Caenorhabditis elegans: one gene and its partner. The protein of the gene in region 1 interacts with the protein of each later gene in a pairwise test. Each region holds a gene or a part of one and is shown on either strand. Other genes may lie near its edges. The genes, in order: rpn-3 and rpn-7.

Region 1 (10,802 bases):
TTCCTTTCCGAAAAGATCCTTGACAATCTCTCTGATCATCGGAATTCTTGAAGATCCTCCGACAATTTCGATCTCGTCAATTTCTTCCGGCTTGATAGACACTCCGTCTGCGAACAAGTTAATGAGAACCTGCTTGATACGGTTGAAAATTGGAGCTGCAAGATCCTCAAATTCTTGACGTTGCATCTTTCCAGTAACATCCTTATCCTCCATAAAGCATTCAATGTTCAGTGGAATTGGAGTTTGATTTGCTGACATTTGCTTCTTCACACGCTCACATTCGTCCAAGAGACGTAGCCATGGACGAGGAGATGTTGCGGCATCAATTCCTGCAATAACTTCAATTATCAATTTACTTTCATTGGGCCTTACCGTATTTTGTCTTGAACTCTTTTCTGAAGTGCTCTCGAATAAGAGCATCGAACCAAATACCACCAGACTCCAAATCGTATGATGTGTTAACCATCTGAAGTTTTCCACGATTGAAAGCAACCAATGAAGCCTGTGTTGACGAATGACCGATATCAAGGAACACGACGTTGCGCGATTTGGCATCTTCCTCTGGGAGATCTTGCTTGTAGATTCCGTAGGCTAGAGCAATTGCAGTTGTTTCATTGACGATGCGAAGAGAGTTCAATCCGGCATATTGAATAGCTGAGAGAACAGCGCGTCGTTGAACATCAGTGAAGTAGGACGGGACCTAAAATTAAAACGATTGTCTAACAATTTCTCAAGTCTAAATTGTTCGATAAAATTATAGTTAAAATAAATTGATATTATTCAGAAATATTAAACAAACACTTACAGCAAGAACGCAATCTGAAACTTTCTTCACGTCAGAAAGTTGAGATTCCACAATAGTACGAAGCTTCGTGAGAAGGGCAGCAAGAACTTGTTCTGGGGTGAAAGTGTGAGGTTCGCCAAGATAACTGACTTGAACTCCGATGTCATCATTTGGAAGTTTAACCACTTTACACGGGATGAATGGAATGAATCTTTGCGCAACAGGATCACTGAATTTTCGTCCAATCAAATGCTTGAAGTTAATAACAGTGTTCTTGATGTTCGTGGTCACTGCTTGCCGAGCTGCAACCCCCATTGATCGATCTTTTGGTCCAAAAGATACGCAAGCTCTGGAGAAATAAATATTTAGATTTCATGTTATGAAATACTACACTTACGGAGTGGCATGCAGAGAATAGTCATTGGTGATAACTTCAATGCCTCCTTGACGTGCAACGCCAATGTAGCAGTTGAGGTTACCGATGTCGAATCCAAGAACCGACATTATTCTTTATAGCAGGAGCGCTGAAATTAAAGATAAAAGTTTAGACAGTTTAGACCAGCTAAAAACGGACAAAATGGGTTGAAGAAGCTTTGAAAGTATATTTATACAAAAACCAAATATTTTTCTAGAAATTTCGAGCAAATAAAAAAAAAGTGAGCAAGAAAACAAAGGTGAAACAGCGAAAAACGACCGAAAAGGGCGTGTCTCAGGCTGACTCCCTTATAATGGTGTTTAAAGGCACACCGAATATTCGAGAAACGTCTAGTACATCGTTGCGAGACCCATGTAAAATTCTCTACAGAGCAGACTTGCATTATTTTTTATTTTTCAAAATCATCATTTTTCAAACATCGTTTTTCATTTTATTAACGTTCTGTTGTGTTTGTTTTTATTTATTTATTTTATTTTACGTGAAAAAAAGCTCAAATTCTAGTGACACTCGTTTTATTTTCAAATTTTAAAGGGAAATGGCTCCGAAAACTGGAGAAACCGTCGTTGAAAAAATGGAGGTAGATGAAGCTAAGCAAGATGTCCCAGCCACCGAGCCAGCAAAAGATCTCAACGCAATTGCAGTTGAAAGTAAGTGAAATACAGAAATACTAAAGTTTTGATTGCCTTCTTTTCTAGATATCAAAGAACAATTAGCTGCTCTCGACAAAGGAGAAGAACATTTGATCACTCGCGTGTTGCAAGTATTGCCGAAAACTCGCAAGCAGATCAATGACAACGTTCTTTACAAACTCGTGTCTTCACATTTAAGCAGTGATGCTCAGTTCGCCGAAGGAATGTTGAAGTATTTGCATTACACACCCGCCGCTGATACTGAAGTTCAGCCAATGGATACTTCGAATGTCAAAACAAAGTCTCCAAAAAAAGGCGTCAAACCAGTGTTTGCATCTCCCGAATCAGATTGCTACTTGCGTCTTCTCGTTTTGCTTCATCTTTATGCTCAAAAAAAGAATACCGAAGCTCTTGCTCTCGGCGAGAATCAACTCACATCAAGTAAAAAACATATTTTAACCCAAACAAAACGTATAATTTTCAGTTTACAACTTTGATCGGCGTACACTGGATGGACTCGCAGCAAAAACCCTTTATTTCCTCTGTGTGATCTACGAACGAGAAGGACGTCTTTTCGATCACCAGGGATTCTTGAACTCTCGACTCCGTACTGCAACTCTCCGTAATTTCTCCGAGTCACAAGCCGTTCTGATTTGCTGGCTTCTTCGCTGCTACTTGATCAACCGTCAATATCAATCAGCTGCTCATCTTGTCTCCAAAGTTGCATTCCCAGACAATGCATCTAACAATGATCTTGCCCGCTACATGTACTATCAAGGACGTATAAAGGCTCTTCAACTCGATTACAATTCGGCGGCTGGATATTTCTTGCAAGCTCAGCGAAAAGCTCCACAAGAAGGTGCCATTGGCTTCAAACAAGCTGTTCAGAAGTGGGTTGTTGTCATTGGTCTTCTACAAGGAGAGATTCCTGATCGAAGTGTGTTCCGTCAACCAATTTATCGCAAATGTCTTGCTCACTACCTGGATCTCAGTCGAGGCGTTCGCGATGGAGATGTTGCTCGTTTTAATCATAATTTGGAGCAATTCAAAACACAGTTTGAAGCTGATGATACTCTCACATTGATTGTTCGTCTGCGTCAAAACGTCATCAAGACTGCAATCAAGCAAATTTCTTTGGCGTATTCCCGAATTTATATCAAGGATATTGCCAAGAAGTTGTATATTACTAACGAGACAGAGACTGAATACATTGTAAGTAATTTATATTGACAGTTTTATGTTTATTATAATTGTTGCAGGTGGCGAAGGCTATTGCCGATGGAGCAATCGATGCTGTTATCACTTCTGATGTTCGTGATGGACCTCGGTACATGCAAAGTTCAGAAACAGCTGATATTTATCGTACTTCGGAGCCACAAGCTCACTTCGATACTCGTATCCGTTACTGCCTCGAATTGCACAATCAAGCTGTCAAAGCTCTCAGATATCCACCAAAGAAGAAGATCGCTGTTGAAACTATTGAGCAAGCTCGTGAACGCGAGCAGCAAGAGTTGGAATTCGCCAAAGAGCTGGCTGACGAAGATGATGACGATTTTTAAACCGATCACTCACTTTTTTAATTTATTCTGAACAATGCATTGGAACGTGTCTGTCTCCGTAAATAATTTTGTGTGTATTTTATTTGAATTTTCTCGTCTCTTTTCAAATCGAGATCCCTGTCCACTTTTTTCCCACACCCGAATGAATTTTATAAGGATGAATTGCATATTTCACCAAGTCTTTTTAAAATATATTTTGTTTAAAATTGGTATTTTTCACCGATTTTATTTCTGAATTAAGTAGTGTTAAAAGAGAAAGATCGTCTAAAAAATAATCTTCAATTCTATCGTGATAGAAATCCATGAGTTTTCGAATAAATACTGTATTGCAACATCTAAATATACGATTCTATTAAATTTTACAAAAATAATGTAATTTGTCTAAACACTTGCTTTACGATGTCCGCAAACACTACCTGCACACGAACTGCGTCAGAAATTACGAGCACGATTTTCTTAATTCTTTTAGTTCAGAAACTTTCTTGAAATCATTTTAGTTATATTTATGTTTATTCAATATATTTTGTATTACCAAAAGTAAAAAAAGGAAACACTGAAAATCCCATTAATATTTAAACTCTATTTTTCTCTGAAACTAACTGGAATTCAATTTTGGAATTTATTAGTTTTAGTCAATTGCTCTCTGATATTTAATTTTTTTTTCATTTAAAAAACATAATTTATTTAACTACGAGATCGATTATAGCGCTGCTTTTCTTCCTCTTTGAAGTTTAAAATTATTTTCAGAATGAATGAGGCTCGAGCAAGGATCATAATAAACCTGCGGCTGTCGATGGACTCGCTGATGCGAGTTTTCAGTCACCGATCACCACCTCCTTCATTTGGATTTGCTTGCGATGTCGGTGCACATCCATCATCAACTGCACAAAACTTGCCAATGACATATGGAAGTGTTCGCGAAATGATTGACGATTTTAGTATTGTTTTTGGAGTTCCAAAGTATAGAACTAGCAAACGTACGTTTATATGTTATGTAAAAAAACTGATTTTCAAAATTTATTTTTTAGCAAAGAAAGTAACTCGCAAGTTCTCATTCACACGCCTTCTTCAACCGATTGATAATCTTGTGACATGTCCAGCGTGCTCGAATATTCATCCATCGGACACTATTTGTGATGCCTGCTACGCCAAAGTTCATCAATTGACTTCGGAAATAAAAAAAAAAATGATGCAGTACAATCCATATGTTGGAGAGAAACAGGATAAAGAAGTATGTTGGTCCAAAATAAATTAGTTTTCCAATAAAATGCTTTCAGGTATATGTGAAATTCAGAGGAGAACCAGATGCACCGGCAGCAGTTGTTAAAGGAAAGCGAGTTCTCGAAATTGAAAAAGAACGACCGACTTGGTTCAAGAAGTTGACACTAAAAGAATGATTTTCCTCTATTTTTATAGGTTTTTATAGATTTGTTCGTTTTCCTTGTTTTTGTTCATTCATCATTTTTTTTTTTATTGGAGTCATAAATAGAAAAACCTCTTACCATTTTCTAATTGTATTTCTATTTTCCATTTATGTTTCAGGTGGAAATCAAAACCATTGCGTGTTGTAAGTGTGAAACAGCTGAATCGATATTCTCTCCGGTTACCCTTGTTTCCAAAAGTGTGTCACTTGTTGACATTCCGCTTTTCTAATGTGCTCTTGTCACGATCACTCTGCTCGAGCACATGAAGTAGGAGAACTGCATGTGTGTTTGCGTGATTTTTAGAGGAATCCATTACTTCGGTTTAGATGTTTGATATTGGGTTACAATGGTGAGTAAGGGATTCCACATATGTTGTACTTTTGTATGCAAGCAAAATGGAATTCTGAAACGATGCAAAATTCAACAATATTTTGTTCATTAGTTTATTCAATTTTTAGACAAAAATGTGGGAAAAAAGTTAAAAATATAAAGGTTTATAGAGTATCCAAGACGTGTCATAAAGCGCAAAATTTTGTGACTTTTTCGTCAAAACCCGGTCTCAACACGACAATTTATCGTTAAATACAAACGGGTGTGCGCCTTTAACGAGTACTGTACAGTACTCTTTGAAGGCGCACACCTGTTTGTATTTAACAAAACAATCATCGTGTTGAGACCAGGTACCGTAGTTTTGCCGAAAAAAACCAATTTTCTAAAAGTCCTTATAAACAGTTTGTTTTCTGGAAGCCATGGAAACTCGACTAAGGTGGCAGCAGCAGGCAGCAATACTTTTAAAATTTGATTCCCAAAATTTCATTGAATTCTAGAGATGTTCAACTTTTTCTCTCTTCTATTTCGATCTGTTCGCTTCTTACCGCACATTGAGACTGATAGTTGAATTGCGTGACAAGAGTATTTCGATCTCCTATCTCTGCGTCTCACCTCCTACAACACTGTCTCGAGACTAATGATGAATGCATTTTGTACCAGTCGGTCGATCCTCCATCCTTCCTATTCAACTTGTAAAGTTGTGTTGTTGAGATATGGATTAAAAGAAAAGAAAAAAGAAATACCATGAATTTTCGGATGAGTTCGTATTTTTAGAGAGTAGTCGGCAAAAGAATGAATTGGGTTACTGTAAGAAGTAGGGGGACAAAAGTTAACAAGGGCAAGTAAACATTAAAAATATCTGACTTTACCTGAAAAAGGTAAACCAAGTGGCTAAAATAATACGAAATTTACAGAACAATGGGAAGTGACGCGCTACAGTACCTCTCTTAAAGGCGCACACTTATTCACGGGCGAGTTATCTGTAAATTTTTCAGTCGTGGCGAGACCCGGTACTGTGGCTTCGATATCTGGAAATTTTGGGTTTTTTGACTGTGCAAAAGATATAACATTTTTATTTTACTTTTTAAATCAGTTTATCGAACGTTCACTGTAAAGGCGTAGGCTACGTGGAAGGCAGTCACGCAGGTAGGATCTTTGTGCTTTTTTGAAAGTCGAACTATAAAACAATATCTTCTGATTGAAGTGCACAACATCAGTTCAAGAAGTCCCGTCCATCTTCATTAGTTGTCTAAAAGTCATGGATATACCCCGTCTCATCGTCAGAGCCAATGTGACTATGAATATTGGGTTTCACCACCATCACAAATCCAAAAGACTCACTACCACATTTTAGGGGCTTCTTCTTCTTCTTTTGCCTATCTCAGTTTACTTTACTCTCAAATAGTAGAAGAGAAGCCTCTTCCTTCCTTTTCTAATGAGTGAGCCTCCACCGAGAATGAGAAGAAGGATGAGAGGTTGAGGATTATCCGACAAAACCATATTTGGACTTAATATTAGACAAACTAATGGGTACCGTAGTCTCGAATTGGTTGAAGGACAAGGTAATTGATCTAGTTGCTTTGAAAAATTAAAAAAAAAAAGACCATCTTCATGATTTTAGCTGAAACTGTTAAAAATTGTATTACCTTGTGTACACTGGTCGAAGCGGATCTCTTTGTTAGGGAAGCCTTCAGGAGCACATGTCTGACCATGCCTACCTACCTACCGCCTACTTTCTGATATTTTTCCTGTGCTCCATTGTTTTCATTGTCTTGTTTCACTGTTTTTTTTTTGAAAATTCACCAATAGAACTTTCGCATGTAAGTTGGCAGAACGCTGAAGACAAGGCCAGGCCTTCTTGCAGTCGTGTAGGCGTTTCCGAGATTTCATGGAATGGCAATGGGGAGCATACCGATCAGCAATTTTTAATATACCAATAAATCAATAAACATTTTCTCGTTTTTTTCAGACTTTTCAACCGACGTCTCCTTTTCATAACCAGTTTCAGAGCCGTTTCGAAAAGTCGATCAAAAATTAATCTAACTCGTTTAATTTAAGCTCAGTGTAAGATCAAAACACTTGAAACTTTCAGCTTTTTCAGATATTTTTCTTGACTTCTCGACCTTCTGTCTAATCGAAATTCTTGAACAACTTCTACCCGGCCACGCCTCCCTTCTTCCAGTGGCTGAGCTCTGAGTATTGAGAGTAACCCAAGAAGCCCCACCCCTTTCATGGAGCAACAACCCAAAGCTCTTCGACGGGCTTCAACATTTCGTTGAGACCTTATTGTCTTTTTCCCAATTCTTTTAAACTTTCTCTTCAAAACTCTCGACCTCTTGTCTCATCACTCATAACGAGGCAAGAAGAATAAAAAGAAAAAAGAATACGTCCGGCGGCGGGCCCTCTTTCTTCACTATTCATGTGCTCACCCGTAGGTAACCCAGGTGATCGGCTCGGAGCAACAATGAGGCTTCTTTTCGAGTGAGCACCACAGTGTGAGAAGAGAGCAGATGGATGAGCATCATTCGTCTAAAAAGTGTGTCCGTCCTTTTCGAGACAAGAAACATTTGATTTATTTTCATGAGTTTTTTGAGTTTCGCCAAACTTCCTTTTTTAAATATTGTTTTCCTTTGCTAGGTAACCTTGGGATGTCGTCTTAGTGTACAAATTTTGTAGAAGTTCATATTCCCGTCCGCCTGCCTGCCTACCTTCATGTTCTGGTTTTTTGAAAATTGGTCTTGTTAAATTTGTAGGTTACTTTTTACAATAACTCCCAAGTATCGTAATAAATCAGTTGGTCCAGAAGAGAGCTTTCATTGTGAACATACAATTCTGCAGGCTACGACGCTCGGCTCAATCCTACATGCCTGCCTCTCTTTCATAAAAAGTGTAGATCATTTCTAATTTTTTCAAGAGCTGGTTTCCCTTGCTCACACAGTTTTAAAATTGAAATGAGCAAGATCTTTAGAACTATATTTGGAAAATCAATAGATGAGCTTTTATAATTATCATCTTGAGTTAGAAATCTAAGTGTACCAAACAAATTAACCAATAAGGCGTTGATGTGTAGTCTGAAAGATAAAAATGATATAAATTATTCTGAGCAGTGTGTTATTTTTGCTCACCTCTCTTGGATGATTCAGCAAGATTCGTATTTGTTCAGTAGTGAGATATAGAATAGAGTACTTTATATAGACAAATTGAAATAGAACAACATTTCTTTGCAAATCAGACAGTGCTGCGCATTTTGGGGGGATTCGGCATCACCCACAATGATGTAAAAGGGGAAAGATCTACTCAAAAAATGAGTTTGCCTTGATTATCAAAAACGTTTGCTAAATTAACTTCCCCATAAAAAAATAATTATTAAAAAATCTTAAAAAGACCCTATCATCAGCTTTTAAATGAAACTTGGTACGTCCTTGAACCCAATCTCCAGGCACTGCATTCATTATTCGCATCGTTTCACCCATCCGAAAACATATGTTTCTGATGCTCACTTGTGTGCTCACAAGAGAAAAGTTCGAAGTACAGTAGTTCCGACGCTATGGCTTCATTTGTCTCGTTCACCAGGAGGTTATTTCTAAATACCTAAAAACGGCTTCTTCTCCTCCTCTGCTTCTTCTAAGTAAGGCTTCACAAGGTGGGCTCAATGAGCACATTTTCACTCCCTCTCATATTTCTAAAAAAAAGAAGGGGATGAACAATTAACGGATGAATCAAGTGTGCCTGTCTTTAGAGAATGCACTTGTTATCACCTCATTTTTTCGGAAAAAAAGAGGTTCGTCAGTCTCAAGAGGGTTTGTTTACCCGATTGGAATGACCAGAAAGAAGGAGAGAATGCACTTCATTTATGTTCGCTTTTGGTTTCTAGACATGAAATTTGGATGAAAAAAAATCCACAATTTTAAGTTAACCAGAAAGTGTATGGAAATTTTTAACTAGGAAAAATTTTCAATTTAAAAAAAGTTCTAGATTCATTTTTGAATAATCTAGAAGAAGACACTGCCTAAAAAAAATGAATTGTTTGCTAAAACGTTTGACTGAAAACATAGCTCCCTAACTATTCTTCATGGCCTGTCTTCAACCTAAACTTTATTATTTTTTCAATTGCTCGAAATTTTGGAGTTTTCTAAAAATTCAGAAAAGTGCACAAATTTTGAGACCTGAGAAATGAAAGTTAGAGAAAATTTTTAAAACCAAATCCAGCAGTTCGAGAATTCATAACATCTTGAAGAAATATATCAAAAATGTTATTATTTATATAGGCCTTAAAATGTCTGTCTCGAGGAGCAACCACGCCTATATTTAATTCCAGACTTTTCCCCATTTATGAACCTTTAATCCTTCACAACCTAAAATACAGTCACCTAGTACCTACCACCGTTTTCTCTCCTTTCATTCGCTCCTCCTTCCGTTTCACCCTAATCCGTCCATAATTTTGTTCCCTTTTTGCCTACAATGACCTCTTCCTTTTTCTTCTTTTTCATGATCGTCGCCATCATCGTTCTTTAATCCGCCTATCCCCTTTCCGAACCTAGAACCCTTTTTGACTTTTCTGGACACTTCTGACTTCTTCTTACTCTTATTCTACTTCTTTTCCTTATCCTCGTCCCGTATTCTCATTTCCTCCATTCGGTTTTTTTAGATATTAGTTTGACCCTCATCGTGTCATCTTTAGCAAATTAGTTCCCAGGAGAGAAGTTGCGAATAGTTTGATTTTATTCAATTCCGGTAATCGTTAATTTGAATGGCCTAAAGTTTTCTGGCTCAACAATTTGTATTTCAAAGTATGATTGAGAGCATAAAGATTTTTAAGCACTTTCGCGCAACGTGTGCGCTGAAAATTTGGAAAATCTTTTTTTTTTTCGATACATGACGAGCCAAACGGCAAATTATTCATTCTTGGTTAGTTCTGCAAGTCATTAAACCTCAGAACTTGGCTGATATTAGTTTTATAGAATAAAATAACGTTTAATTTTTGTAAAGTTTAAAAAATATTTTCTCTTGAAAATCTTCCAGCTATTGCAAATATCATCTCAGCGTTCCTAAACTTGTAGCTGAATCTGTTCCTCAACTCAAACTGTTATTTTCCAAACTCCCTCAACTTTTTTTTCATTTAATGCATATATCTATCTGGTGCACCCAATGCTTCCAACTTTTTTCTTCTCCATCCAAACCAACTCTCAACCGATTCAATTAAAATCACAATTTGTGATTTTCCGCTTTTCTCTTTTCACCACAAAAAAGTTGACACAATTCGAAAGTTAGAGCTCCAATCCTACAGAAAACTTTTTTCCTCGTTTTTCTCCACCAAAACATTGGTACCGCCCGTCTTGTAGTCGTCGCGTACACGGAGGCAATTAAAAAATTGGATTTGTTCTTTTTCTTCTCCTCTCTTTCTAATATTGACTCACAATTTTATTTTCCGTTCGATCAAATTTAGGGGCAAAAGTTGGATACGATGAGGTTCTGCTCAGTTGTTTTTACTTTTTGTGGCAGTTTTTACAATTGCGAAAAATAAAGATTGCCAAAGTTTAACAAATTTCACTAATGTTCTAAGATTTTGTTTAAAGTTGTACCTCGAAGGATCTAGAAAAAAAGCCCCCAAAATATTCAAAAAAATTTCAAAGTGTTTTG
Region 2 (10,802 bases), on another chromosome or scaffold:
TCCAATCTTCAACGCAAATTTGTTTGGATATGGAGCCTTGTCATCTCCTTCGACTTCCCAATCAATTTCAGCGATACCTAACAGAGATTGAAGCCCCTGAGTTTTGAAATTTTTCCTTATTCCGATTTTCCACCAGAAAAAACTTACAACTCCCTCTGCCAAAGGTTTGATTGTCTTCTTCTCTCCTATTTTCAGGTTATGTCCCGCACTCTCTTCTGCAATTTTCTGTACATCTTCCCATTGAAGAGTGGTTCCTAGGAGTCCATCTGCCAGCTCTGCGGTTTTAAGCATCTCTGATATTGCTTTTCTTCTGAAAATTTTAAATTTTAGTACAATATGAGCACACGATTTCGAAAAATGTGTCATAGTTTATCTACCAATTCATTTTATACCATTTGTCTAGCCACATGATACTTCTCAAATTTCTTATCAAGTTCCTCCTGGAGCAAACAAAAAACTCCCCGTAACCGGGAGTTTTTTATCCGGTTTATGGGTTTTCCATGAAAAAATTGTTGTATACATATAAATGCTAGTAAAGATCATTTAGATTTGTGATAAGAAACACATAACACAATTGTCAAATTGTTGGAAAAAAGGCGGAAACGTGATGAGAAAATGAAAAAAGGAGCAAAAAGTGTGTAGCTTGACTAGAAAATGTTGGTGTTTTATCAACTTTTATCAGTATTCGATAATTTTTTGTTCAGTTTTTGGAAATTATATGTTGTGACCTTTGGTTATTGGTATGGAAACGTTCCTCGAACATCGAAAAATTAATCCACCAATTAATTTTTTCTGTGGATTTTAAGATTTTTCATGGCAATTGAGCAATATTTTTTTCTAATTGAAACAAAATTTTGCATAAAATAACATTTTCAAAAATAAAGATTAGTTGTTTAAAGCTGTAATTTTCCCAAGGAATCAAAAAATCCGAAATTTTTTCTCCAATTTTGAAAATGTTTTCATGCATCTGAAACTGTGGGAGTTTACTTATTTTCTTAGAAAGATAAAAATGCCTCGAAAATCGCTTGAAAATTAGAACAAAGTCTTCTCTCGAAGTGAAAACAAAGTAAACTGAATTGCTTTCAACTTCTTTCAACTATTTGTATCCAAATATATATTTACTTTTTCCAAAAGTTCAATACTCTTTCTCATGTTTCTAACAACTGCCAAAAATCAACAATATACTTTGAAATCTTTCAACTTCAACACGTACCTCGTTTTAAACTCCCATAAACAATCTCGAAACATAAACAATTTCGATGGACAGGTGAACTTTCAATACACTAATATCTTGATAAAATGATATGATAAATCTAAATATAAGAAATTCTGCTTTGAACTATGCTTTGTGCTAGATTTTCTTATTTAGATATATGAAACTTTATGATAAGAGACGCAGATATCTGTGCTCTTGCACAAATTATTGAGAACTAAAAAAGTAAAAGTTCGAGAAGTAACGATGAGTCAGACTTGTTTTGCTATTTGTAAAAAGAAACAAAAGTTATAACGAAAATGTATATATGTAATAGTAAGTATTATCTGGTAGTTGCTGAATTATCAGGTGAGTAGTGAATTTGAGAAATACCAACAAAAAAAAACTAAATTTGTCTTTGATTCCTAACAACTTCACTTAATTGAGCGCCAAATATATTTTGGTACATTTGTTTTGTAAAACCAAAATAAATAAGAAAATTTGCAAAAGAAAACAAGATTCGACATTGATAAAATTTACAAGGCAAATACATTTTTCAAAAATAAAATCAGGAAAGTTGTTTGGAACTTCTTCGCAGTTATATTTGTAATTCGGTACATATTTGGAGTCCTTTCAAAAATTATTTGACTTTTTAATTCAATATAGGATCGAAAAATTCTTTAAAATTACTAACTGGTAAATAGCAAACTTATAAATTCGCTGAAATTCGTACATGCTCTTTGTTCCATTTAAATTCCCAAACAAATTTTCTGGGAGTATGTTTAAATTGATAACATAGAAAAACTAAAAATCTTACTCTTTTTCCACATTTTCTTCGGAATTCGATTTTGCTGGGGAAACGTCCACTGTAGATTGGCAAAGTCCCATCTTTGTGATTGACTTTAAAATATATTTTAATAACTTCAAAACCGAACACAGTGAAGAAAAAGTCCTTATGGGGTTATTCAAGTAGTGTCGGAAAATTAAAAAGTGTAGAAAAATTACGTCACAACCTTATTCAAGTATATAAAAACATGTATTTAAATACATTTGTGACGTCACAAATGTATTTTAATACATTTTGCTACATTACTTGAATAACCCCATTAGAGACAAAATTTGAATAAAAATGTATTATTATCAAGAAGTTTAAAGCCAATGAACTTTTGAAACGCTTGAAATCTCTTTTTATTTCAATCCAACCATGTCAGAAACTAAAAAAGGAGGAAAATAGCAAAAACAAAAAAAAATTTAAAAGAAATTCGTGATAATTGAAGTTTTAAAAAACAGGTGAATTAGGAAAATCATTCAAACCAAGGAAACTATTTTATTAAACTTTGATTCGTGATTTTATATTGTTCAAATGATCATATTAAGATTTTTTAGTTGGCATTTAGTCTATAATTTAATCTCAAAAGTAAATAAAAACGGTAAATCTTGGATAATTTAAAATAACCTGCTCTCCAAAAACTTTAATAATCATGCTTGATCTTTTTGATTTGTGTACGTGAAAACTTCAAACAATTAGAAGAAAACAAAATTCTAATTGCAGGGTTTTTGGATTCTCAGATTGTTTTCTGGTTGCAATTGGTATTTAACTCGTTGACTCGTTGAACTGAATAACTGACTTAACTGAATAAGTTGACTCGTTGAACTGAATAACCAAGAACATAACCATGGTTTTATGATTTCAAAGATTTCTAGATTTTTTATATAAGTTTAAAAAATGATCTATTTGGTTATGTACATAGATTGAAAATAAAAATTGTAAATCGAATTATTCATTGATTCGTTTAATTAAACGTATGATGTGAAGAGCCAATACTACCAAAGATTGGGCTTCTAGATTCTTCGTGATGGGTTACGATCCTCTTCTGCAAATTCATAAATGGAAAATGTTCAAATTGAATCCTGAAACATGTTAAACATACATGTGAATATTCGGAGAATTGTCCAATGTCGGCTTTACAGTTTGATAATTGGAAGAAATTGTCTTATTACCACTTTAATCAATAAAAGAGCAAACTTTTTGTTATAACACAAAAATTAGCAAATTAGCAAAAATTGGGCCAAAAGAACGAATTTTACGAATGCTAGCCAAAAATTGGCCGAGTTGTAATCATAACTAACCAATTCTGACTTTATATACCAAGTCTGTAAGAGTTTTCCTAATTTGTAGAATGTGTTTATAATGCGAAATTTGAATCGCATAGGGAACAGATGAATGGGTGCAAAACTGATAGAGGAAATACGGTAAATTTTTACCGAACGGACCAGGAAATGTTTTTTTATTTTCAAAAAAAACAATAGGTATGGAACAAATTTGTTGATTCTGCGAAAAAATATTAATTGCGCCTACAGTACCACTACAGTAACCCAGCAGTATCACTCCGCCAACTCCAACTCAGTATCCCGTCAGAAGAAAGCAACACAGATTTGCTAGAACTACTCGAGCATAAACTGAAACTGTGGCCTATCTAATTTTATTTAATTGATAAGTACAATTGTTAATTTCTAGAATGTATGATACTATAAAAAATGCATTTTCAACTCGTTGTAATAATCACTATAAGAAGTAGTAAAAAATATGTCCGTAGTAAAAGAGTATTTGCCGATGTACTGGACTATTTTGTATTTTTTTTTGAATCAGAAGCGAAGTGAATATTGCCATTCCCAACCCCAGGGAAATAAGTTGTTATCCGATGTTATAGTGACCCAGAGACACTAAATAAGCAGAGAAGAGTTTGTAGAAGAGTGATTTAGACGAATAAACGGTGATTTCATTTCACTGCTTTATTTTAAACAGATATGAGATTATTTTAGCCCTATTGACGAATGAATAGGGCAATTTGAATGCATTAAAAACGAATTATGAACACTTATAGACAGAAAAAGTTAATGAGAAGACAGAATAAAACCATTGGTGTAGATTAATTTTGGAGATCAATAAGAAACTCCATAGCCGCTTGCACATCTCCATTCGCCTGTTCGAGAGCCAACTGAATGAGCTCATCATTTTCAAATCCAAACTCGCGGAGAGTCGCAGCTTGTTGTTCATATCCTTGCTGCATTGGCTCTTCTTGCTGCTGTTGCGCTGGCTGGACATTGGCGGGAGCTGGAACCCGATTTGCCGGAGGAACTGCAATGTTTGCCAGGGCTGCTTGGAGAGCCTGAAAAAATTGGCATGGAGAATTTAGTAGAAATATGTATTCAACTATTATTATATTTCAATTATTCTTTTCGAATTATGAGAATCAGTGTGTCCAAGAAATCTTACATTTTGAAGCAACGCATGAGTAACCGGTTGAGCACCTCCAATTGGTCGCTGAGCTGCAAGCATTCCTGGTCTATTTCTTTCCACGTTTGCATAATCAAGGTTTTCGTATCCGTAACGAGATCCTACTGTCGATAGAATATTTTCTACTACTTTCAAGAAATCGGGATTCGTGTACATGAATTGTCCCCGAATTGGATCATCTTTGAAATCGTTCTGAACGCAATAGGCACGGAATAATGACCAATCACTCAGAACAGATAAAAATTGATTATCATGAACCAGCTGTGGGTGTTTCTCAAGAAGCGTTGTCATGTGATCTGGAAGTGCAAAGTCGTGGTTGAAACCATGAAGCCGACGATCATTTGGGCGTGTATATGGGGCGGTACACTCCTTGAGAGCAATACTGATTCGATTTTTTTGCTCTTCTTCGATGTGGTTCTGAAAATCTTAAAATTAATTTGGGTTTCAAACGGAAAAAAACTGACATTTGTTTTAAGCGGTGGAAGCAGCACGACTCTGATTGAATCAGCATCAGTAATCTTTTTTAGGCTCTCTTCATTCAATGCTCTTCCGTTATAAATCAAACCTGAAAAGTGATTGATTCGATAATTGAAGAAATAAATATGATCGATAATTGAAGAAATAAACTTACGGAAACGTTCAACGTTTTTTTGGTCTTTGAATTCGGAAGTACTTTCTGATAAATGCTTGAAGAATTGGATCTGTCCAGTAGAAATTATCTCTTCGATCGGGACTTCACGGCAGGTGGTTTTTAAATGCAATTTAACCATGTTTCTCAATACAACGGGATGGCGGTTGAAAACTGAATGCGAAACAAATGCTCCGTTTCCTGCGTTCAAACGCTAATAACGAGAGCGCTCGATAATGAAAGGATGAATAAAACCGTGCGGCGGAATTGCGAAAGCATGCGCCGCGTATTGCAAACCCTTGTCATCATCCCCGCCCACTTTTATTCGTCCCATTTTGAATTTTTCCCCCAGTTTTCTTGAATTTTGATACGGTTTTGTCTGTTTATGCACTATGAAATAGATATTTTAACGTAGTTTTCACTGTGCCGCTCACTGTAATGTAAAATAAGGCACTATTACGAATTTAAAATAGATATCAACGCTTATTTTCAAAAACTAACAAACTAGACACTAAAATTAATACCAAATCTATATTTCGATAATTACAGCAAATTTAATGAAAACTAACTAAAATGCTATTTCACGTTTGAAATACCATTGAACAGTTTTATTTCCGTTTTGGCCGCTTTTTAACGTTTGCTACAATTTCAAGTGTTCATATTTCATTTTAAGGAGGATGACAGAGGCTGCCAAAAAGAGCACGAAGAAACCCGTAGATGATGGAAACTTCGATAAGGAGGTACGGATCAGTAGTTTTGAAATCATTCAAGTTCAGAGTTTTCAGATCATTTCAAGATGGCCTGATCTTGAGTTATCACAAACCAGATTCATGCTCAATCATCCCGAAGTAGACAGCAGCGTGAAAGAAGCCAAGCTCGAGAAGCTTCAGGAAACTATCAAAGAATTCGACATGGCGCCATTCTACGAGCTTGTCTGCGCTGACTTCAAAATTGTCGTAGATGCAACACAATTGGCTGCAATGAAAGCAGCTAATCAGAAAAAGATCGATGAAATCACCGCAGAAGTTGAAGACGCGGAGAAGAACCTTGGCGAATCTGAAGTGCGTCAGGGATTACTCCGCAAGTTCGAGTACTACTGTCAGATCGGTGACAAAGACAACGCTCTGAAAGCGTACACAGCCACCTATGAGAAGACAGTCGGTATGGGATATCGTATTGATGTAGTTTTCGCCATGATTCGTGTTGGACTTTTCTTCCTCGATCATCATCTCATCAACAAGTTTATCACCAAAGCAAAAGAACTTATGGAGCAAGGAGGAGACTGGGAACGCAAAAATCGCCTTCGATCCTACGAAGCGCTTTACCGAATGTCTGTTCGTGATTTTGCTGGAGCCGCTGATTTGTTCCTTGAAGCTGTGCCAACATTCGGATCATACGAGCTCATGACATATGAAAACTTGATTCTCTACACTGTCATCACCACAACCTTTGCTTTGGACAGACCAGACCTTCGTACCAAGGTTATTCGTTGCAATGAAGTTCAAGAACAGCTGACCGGAGGGGGACTCAATGGAACATTGATTCCAGTTCGTGAGTATCTCGAATCATACTATGATTGTCACTACGATCGTTTCTTCATTCAGTTGGCCGCTCTTGAAAGCGAGAGAGTAAGTTACTAAAACAAATCTTGTATTTTTCACTTATCGTTATATTTCAGTTCAAGTTTGATCGCTATCTATCGCCACACTTCAACTATTACTCTCGTGGAATGCGCCATCGCGCTTACGAACAATTTTTGACTCCTTACAAGACTGTACGTATCGATATGATGGCCAAGGATTTTGGTGTTTCCCGTGCTTTCATCGACCGCGAATTGCACCGTCTGATTGCGACTGGGCAATTGCAATGTCGTATTGATGCTGTTAACGGAGTGATTGAAGTGAATCATCGTGACTCGAAGAATCATCTGTACAAGGCAGTTATCAAGGATGGAGATATATTGCTCAACCGCATTCAGAAGCTTGCCAGAGTTATCAATGCATAACCGAGCCCAGTTCTTCAAACGTGTAAATCCTTTTATTTTACCCTATTCTTCTTCTCCCGTATTATTTCTTTGCGTTAACTCGCTTTGAATCTCCCCACTTCTTCATCATTTCCGGTTGAATGAATTAATTTATTACCATCGCTGTATTTTTAAAACTGTATTCACACTTTCTTGGTCAAATACCAATTGTTTTATTATCTTTAAAATGTTTTTACATGTTATTTAATACCACTTCTTCACTTCTTCACTTCTTCATTTCTTTATTTCTTTATCCACATCGCTGCGATGTAGATCCGCTGTTTATTTTTCAATCGTTCATAAGTTGATGTTCCAGGAGCACAGTACGTTGCTCGCAGCGAGTTTTTGAAGAATTTAACGAAGAAAGGAGCCTAAAATATTTATATACAAATTTTTTAACTTTTGGCCTAGTTTACTTTCTCTAGTAGCCTATCATATTTTCTCGCTGAATATTTTAAGCCCTCAACTACTTCATCAGTGCAAAACTCGAAATGTTTCTTTACAAAACCGGCTGCTGTGGCTGTCTCCTGAATCTGTTTTGCCTGTAATCACTAGCTGTATTTATATAAATTTTACAAGTAGACTAACCTCATGGGGATATCGAATGTCCATGTAGCAGAAGGCACCACCCGATCGCAAAACTCGTGAGCCCTCTTTGAAAAATAGTTTGTAGTCCGAGTAAAGATGAGCTGCTTCCACATTCAAAACTTAATTTCAAGATGTTTTTGGTATTTTTTGATATGATCCTACCAAAATCAAACGAATTATCTGCAAACGGTAAATCTAGTGCATCTCCGTAGACTATGTTATTCATATTTCTAGTGACAACTTTATCACAGCCAATGATGCATTTTGTTGGTCCATGCCACCTGTGTTCCATATTTCTCGTTTTAAAAAAAATGCAAGACACTTACTTTTCTATCCAATCGAGAGAGTACCCTTGACCACAGCTCACTTCAAGAATTTCAAATTGTTCAAAATAAGGATAATTTGGATGCATTGATAATGCTTTTTCATAGAGATAAATATGAGCTCGATCCGACTCTGAACATTTAAATTAACAAGGAAACCTCGATTAGTGTTTTCATTTTACCGTATTCATCTAGGTCACCTAGATCTTCCATGAACATTCTCATTTTTGCGTACTGAGGTGCTGATGATGGCCAGTAGCCCAAATTCATGAAACGAACACCTAACTTTGGTGCTACTATTCTCATTAATGGATACATTATGAATCTATCAAAAAACCAAAGCCATAACTGTAGTAATAGAGAGGAAATGTGAAGTAGGAGATTCATAGTGAATATGTGTTTACGAGTAAATGTATTCTTGTACAATTATTGTTCGAAATATAATCTTTGTGAAATTAGCTCTATAAAACTCAATTTCAGCCAATCATCATCATGTCCGGACGTCAAGGAGGAAAGGCAAAGCCACTGAAGGCCGCAAAAAAAACGGAGAAGGATCTTTCTGAGGTGAAAATGATGATGATACTAGATATTTTATACTTATCATGGGCGTAATATTGCAAAAAAAAACTAATTGATTAATGAGAGAAGAAATCCAATAGATCAGTTTTTCGTTCAATATTGTCACACTTTTGAGCGTAGGTTGATGAAAACGATAATCTCATATAATTTTTTGAACACTTATCAAGAAATCATGATACTTGGAGGCGCCATGGTTCCGTACACCGAATAGGATTTTAAATTTTGAATGAGTTGTTAATATAAATAGTCATTTGAAACGGTCATAGTGAGAATTTTTGATCCGAAAAATGTATAATAATTTCATGGTTACAGGAAGACGTCGAGTTCAAGAAGAAGCAACAAGAGGAAGCCAAAAAGATCAAGGAGATGGCAGCCAAGGCTGGACAACGTGGACCACTTCGTAAGTTATTTGTTAACAGTAAAATAACATTAAACTATCAACCTGTTTTGCAGTCGGTGGAGGAATCAAGAAATCAGGAAAGAAGTAATTGCCTCGGTCAAATATTATGCCATCTCATCCGCAACCTCTGTTATTAATTCGTCAAATGACTCGTTATTTCATCCATTTCCGTTCCATATTTTACATATTCTTCGTTCCGTTCTGCTCATTCCCTTTTTGATAATTTCAACATCACTATATTTCTACGAATGAATTGTTATCTGAGAATATCAATCATAGAAGGCGAAAATATTCATCACTAAAATTGATTTGGAAGACTTTAGAAACATATACAGGAAAATGAACTGATGGAATGTCGGATGGGACTCTTATGCTACAGAATACAATTATATGGGTGGAAATGAGCACGTCTCTAAAAGCAGAGACGATTTTAAGGGGGAAATTCGAAAAATTATGGATCGCGAGAGAATCAGGATACGACGATGTGAACAATTGATGCAGATATAGAAGGCTCAAAAGATTTGTGCCGTGTTGTATTTATTCTGCCAAAAGACTGCAATAAGAGTAACTGCATAGAGTCCGGCTGCAATCCAACATTGTGTTGCTTTCTCGTTATATTTTGCGTCGATTACACTGAAAAAAAGTTTAAGGAAATTTTTATTTTATATTTGAAGTAATATTGATCAGCTGTTTTTTCTTTAAAAACTATTTCGAAATTTCTTTCAGCAACACTGGAAGATATTTACTGATTTTCAATAAAATCAAGCTATTGATGATTTTTTTCAAGTATTTAGCACTTATGAGCAGACTACATGACACTCGTTTAGAACTATATAAATATTTGTTTGGTGTTTATTGAGATAAGCTTCGTAAACATTTTTATTTTGATGTCGGTAGTATTTTAAGACAAGACTTGAGATTTTCGAAAACTCATAACAGTTGTATTAAATATTTTAATGTTTTTCTACAATTCAAAATCTCACCTCGATGGAACCTTTCCGTGTCCTTCGAAATGAAGATCTGGGAAGAGAGTGACGGCTTGAATGTAGAAGAAAACACCGAGAAGGCCCAGGAAAATTACTCCCCACACCGACATGACCATGCTGAAAATATATAAAAGATTATAAATTCAATACTGTGGAAATTGTAAACAACGCACCAGAAAGCCGACATTTTTGGTCCCATCAGCGGACAGATTTTGCCCATTTTATCTGAAATTATTGATATTATATTTTTTAATCAAGAAGGAACACAGAGTTAAAGAATAAAATGTTTCAATCGATGAAATATAATGATAAAAACATAGAAAAGAGCATTTTTAGTTCAAAACGAATCGATATTTGCAAAAAAGGAGCGAGGAGCGTAAAATTGGTTTTTGGTCGTGACGCACATTACGCAACTAATTTCGCAACACGCACTACTTTTCAGAATGAAAAAATTCAAGATAAATTTATAATTTTCTCTATTTTTTTGCTCAATGTTAATTTTTATTTCAAAATATTTGTTCAAAAAACTGTTGAGTAATGGACGGAAGTTTTGACATGAATAGGGCCGCGAGACAAGAGAACAAGAATCGATTTTCGGCCGCAGCAGTGTCAGCAGGGTTTCGTTTATTGATCTCCGGCCGCATCACTGCAACGACTAGTTTTACCTCCTGTTTTGCTCATTTTTTAAGGATTTAAAAATATGTTTTTTTGAATTAAAAAATTCAATTTCAACTAAATAGTTTTCCTTCACAACTTTTGAATCTGAACGAGTGGTTTTATTACTT

What was found.
Region 2: the proteins of rpn-3 (region 1) and rpn-7 interact in a two-hybrid assay, tested with the Caenorhabditis elegans proteins (2 studies listed by BioGRID).

What each region holds. Positions count from the first base shown.
Region 1 is NC_003281.10:8,445,602-8,456,403, forward strand, and holds rpn-3 (26S proteasome non-ATPase regulatory subunit 3), read left to right. Parts: upstream 1-1,751; 5' UTR 1,752-1,755; coding exon 1,756-1,867; intron 1,868-1,915; coding exon 1,916-2,290; intron 2,291-2,333; coding exon 2,334-3,061; intron 3,062-3,108; coding exon 3,109-3,408; 3' UTR 3,409-3,745; downstream 3,746-10,802. Other genes in the region: hsp-110 (Heat shock protein 110), read right to left, coding at 1-329, 373-700, 806-1,133, 1,182-1,288; mrpl-32 (Large ribosomal subunit protein bL32m), read left to right, coding at 4,157-4,385, 4,437-4,639, 4,686-4,805. UniProt on the Caenorhabditis elegans protein: Acts as a regulatory subunit of the 26 proteasome which is involved in the ATP-dependent degradation of ubiquitinated proteins.
Region 2 is NC_003282.8:9,310,848-9,321,649, forward strand, and holds rpn-7 (26S proteasome non-ATPase regulatory subunit 6), read left to right. Parts: upstream 1-5,791; 5' UTR 5,792-5,795; coding exon 5,796-5,858; intron 5,859-5,903; coding exon 5,904-6,746; intron 6,747-6,796; coding exon 6,797-7,123; 3' UTR 7,124-7,383; coding exon of another isoform or gene 7,384-7,512; 3' UTR 7,513-7,557; coding exon of another isoform or gene 7,558-7,683; 3' UTR 7,684-7,729; downstream 7,730-10,802. Other genes in the region: F49C12.7 (CHK kinase-like domain-containing protein), read right to left, coding at 1-96, 148-310, 2,010-2,080; F49C12.9 (UBA domain-containing protein), read right to left, coding at 4,123-4,362, 4,470-4,907, 4,955-5,055, 5,122-5,260; nemt-1 (Methyltransferase type 11 domain-containing protein), read right to left, coding at 7,384-7,512, 7,558-7,683, 7,730-7,848, 7,892-8,010, 8,056-8,185, 8,235-8,439; F49C12.11 (Translation machinery-associated protein 7 homolog), read left to right, coding at 8,545-8,616, 8,944-9,031, 9,085-9,119; F49C12.12 (Ribonuclease kappa), read right to left, coding at 9,544-9,664, 10,015-10,134, 10,191-10,237. UniProt on the Caenorhabditis elegans protein: Acts as a regulatory subunit of the 26S proteasome which is involved in the ATP-dependent degradation of ubiquitinated proteins.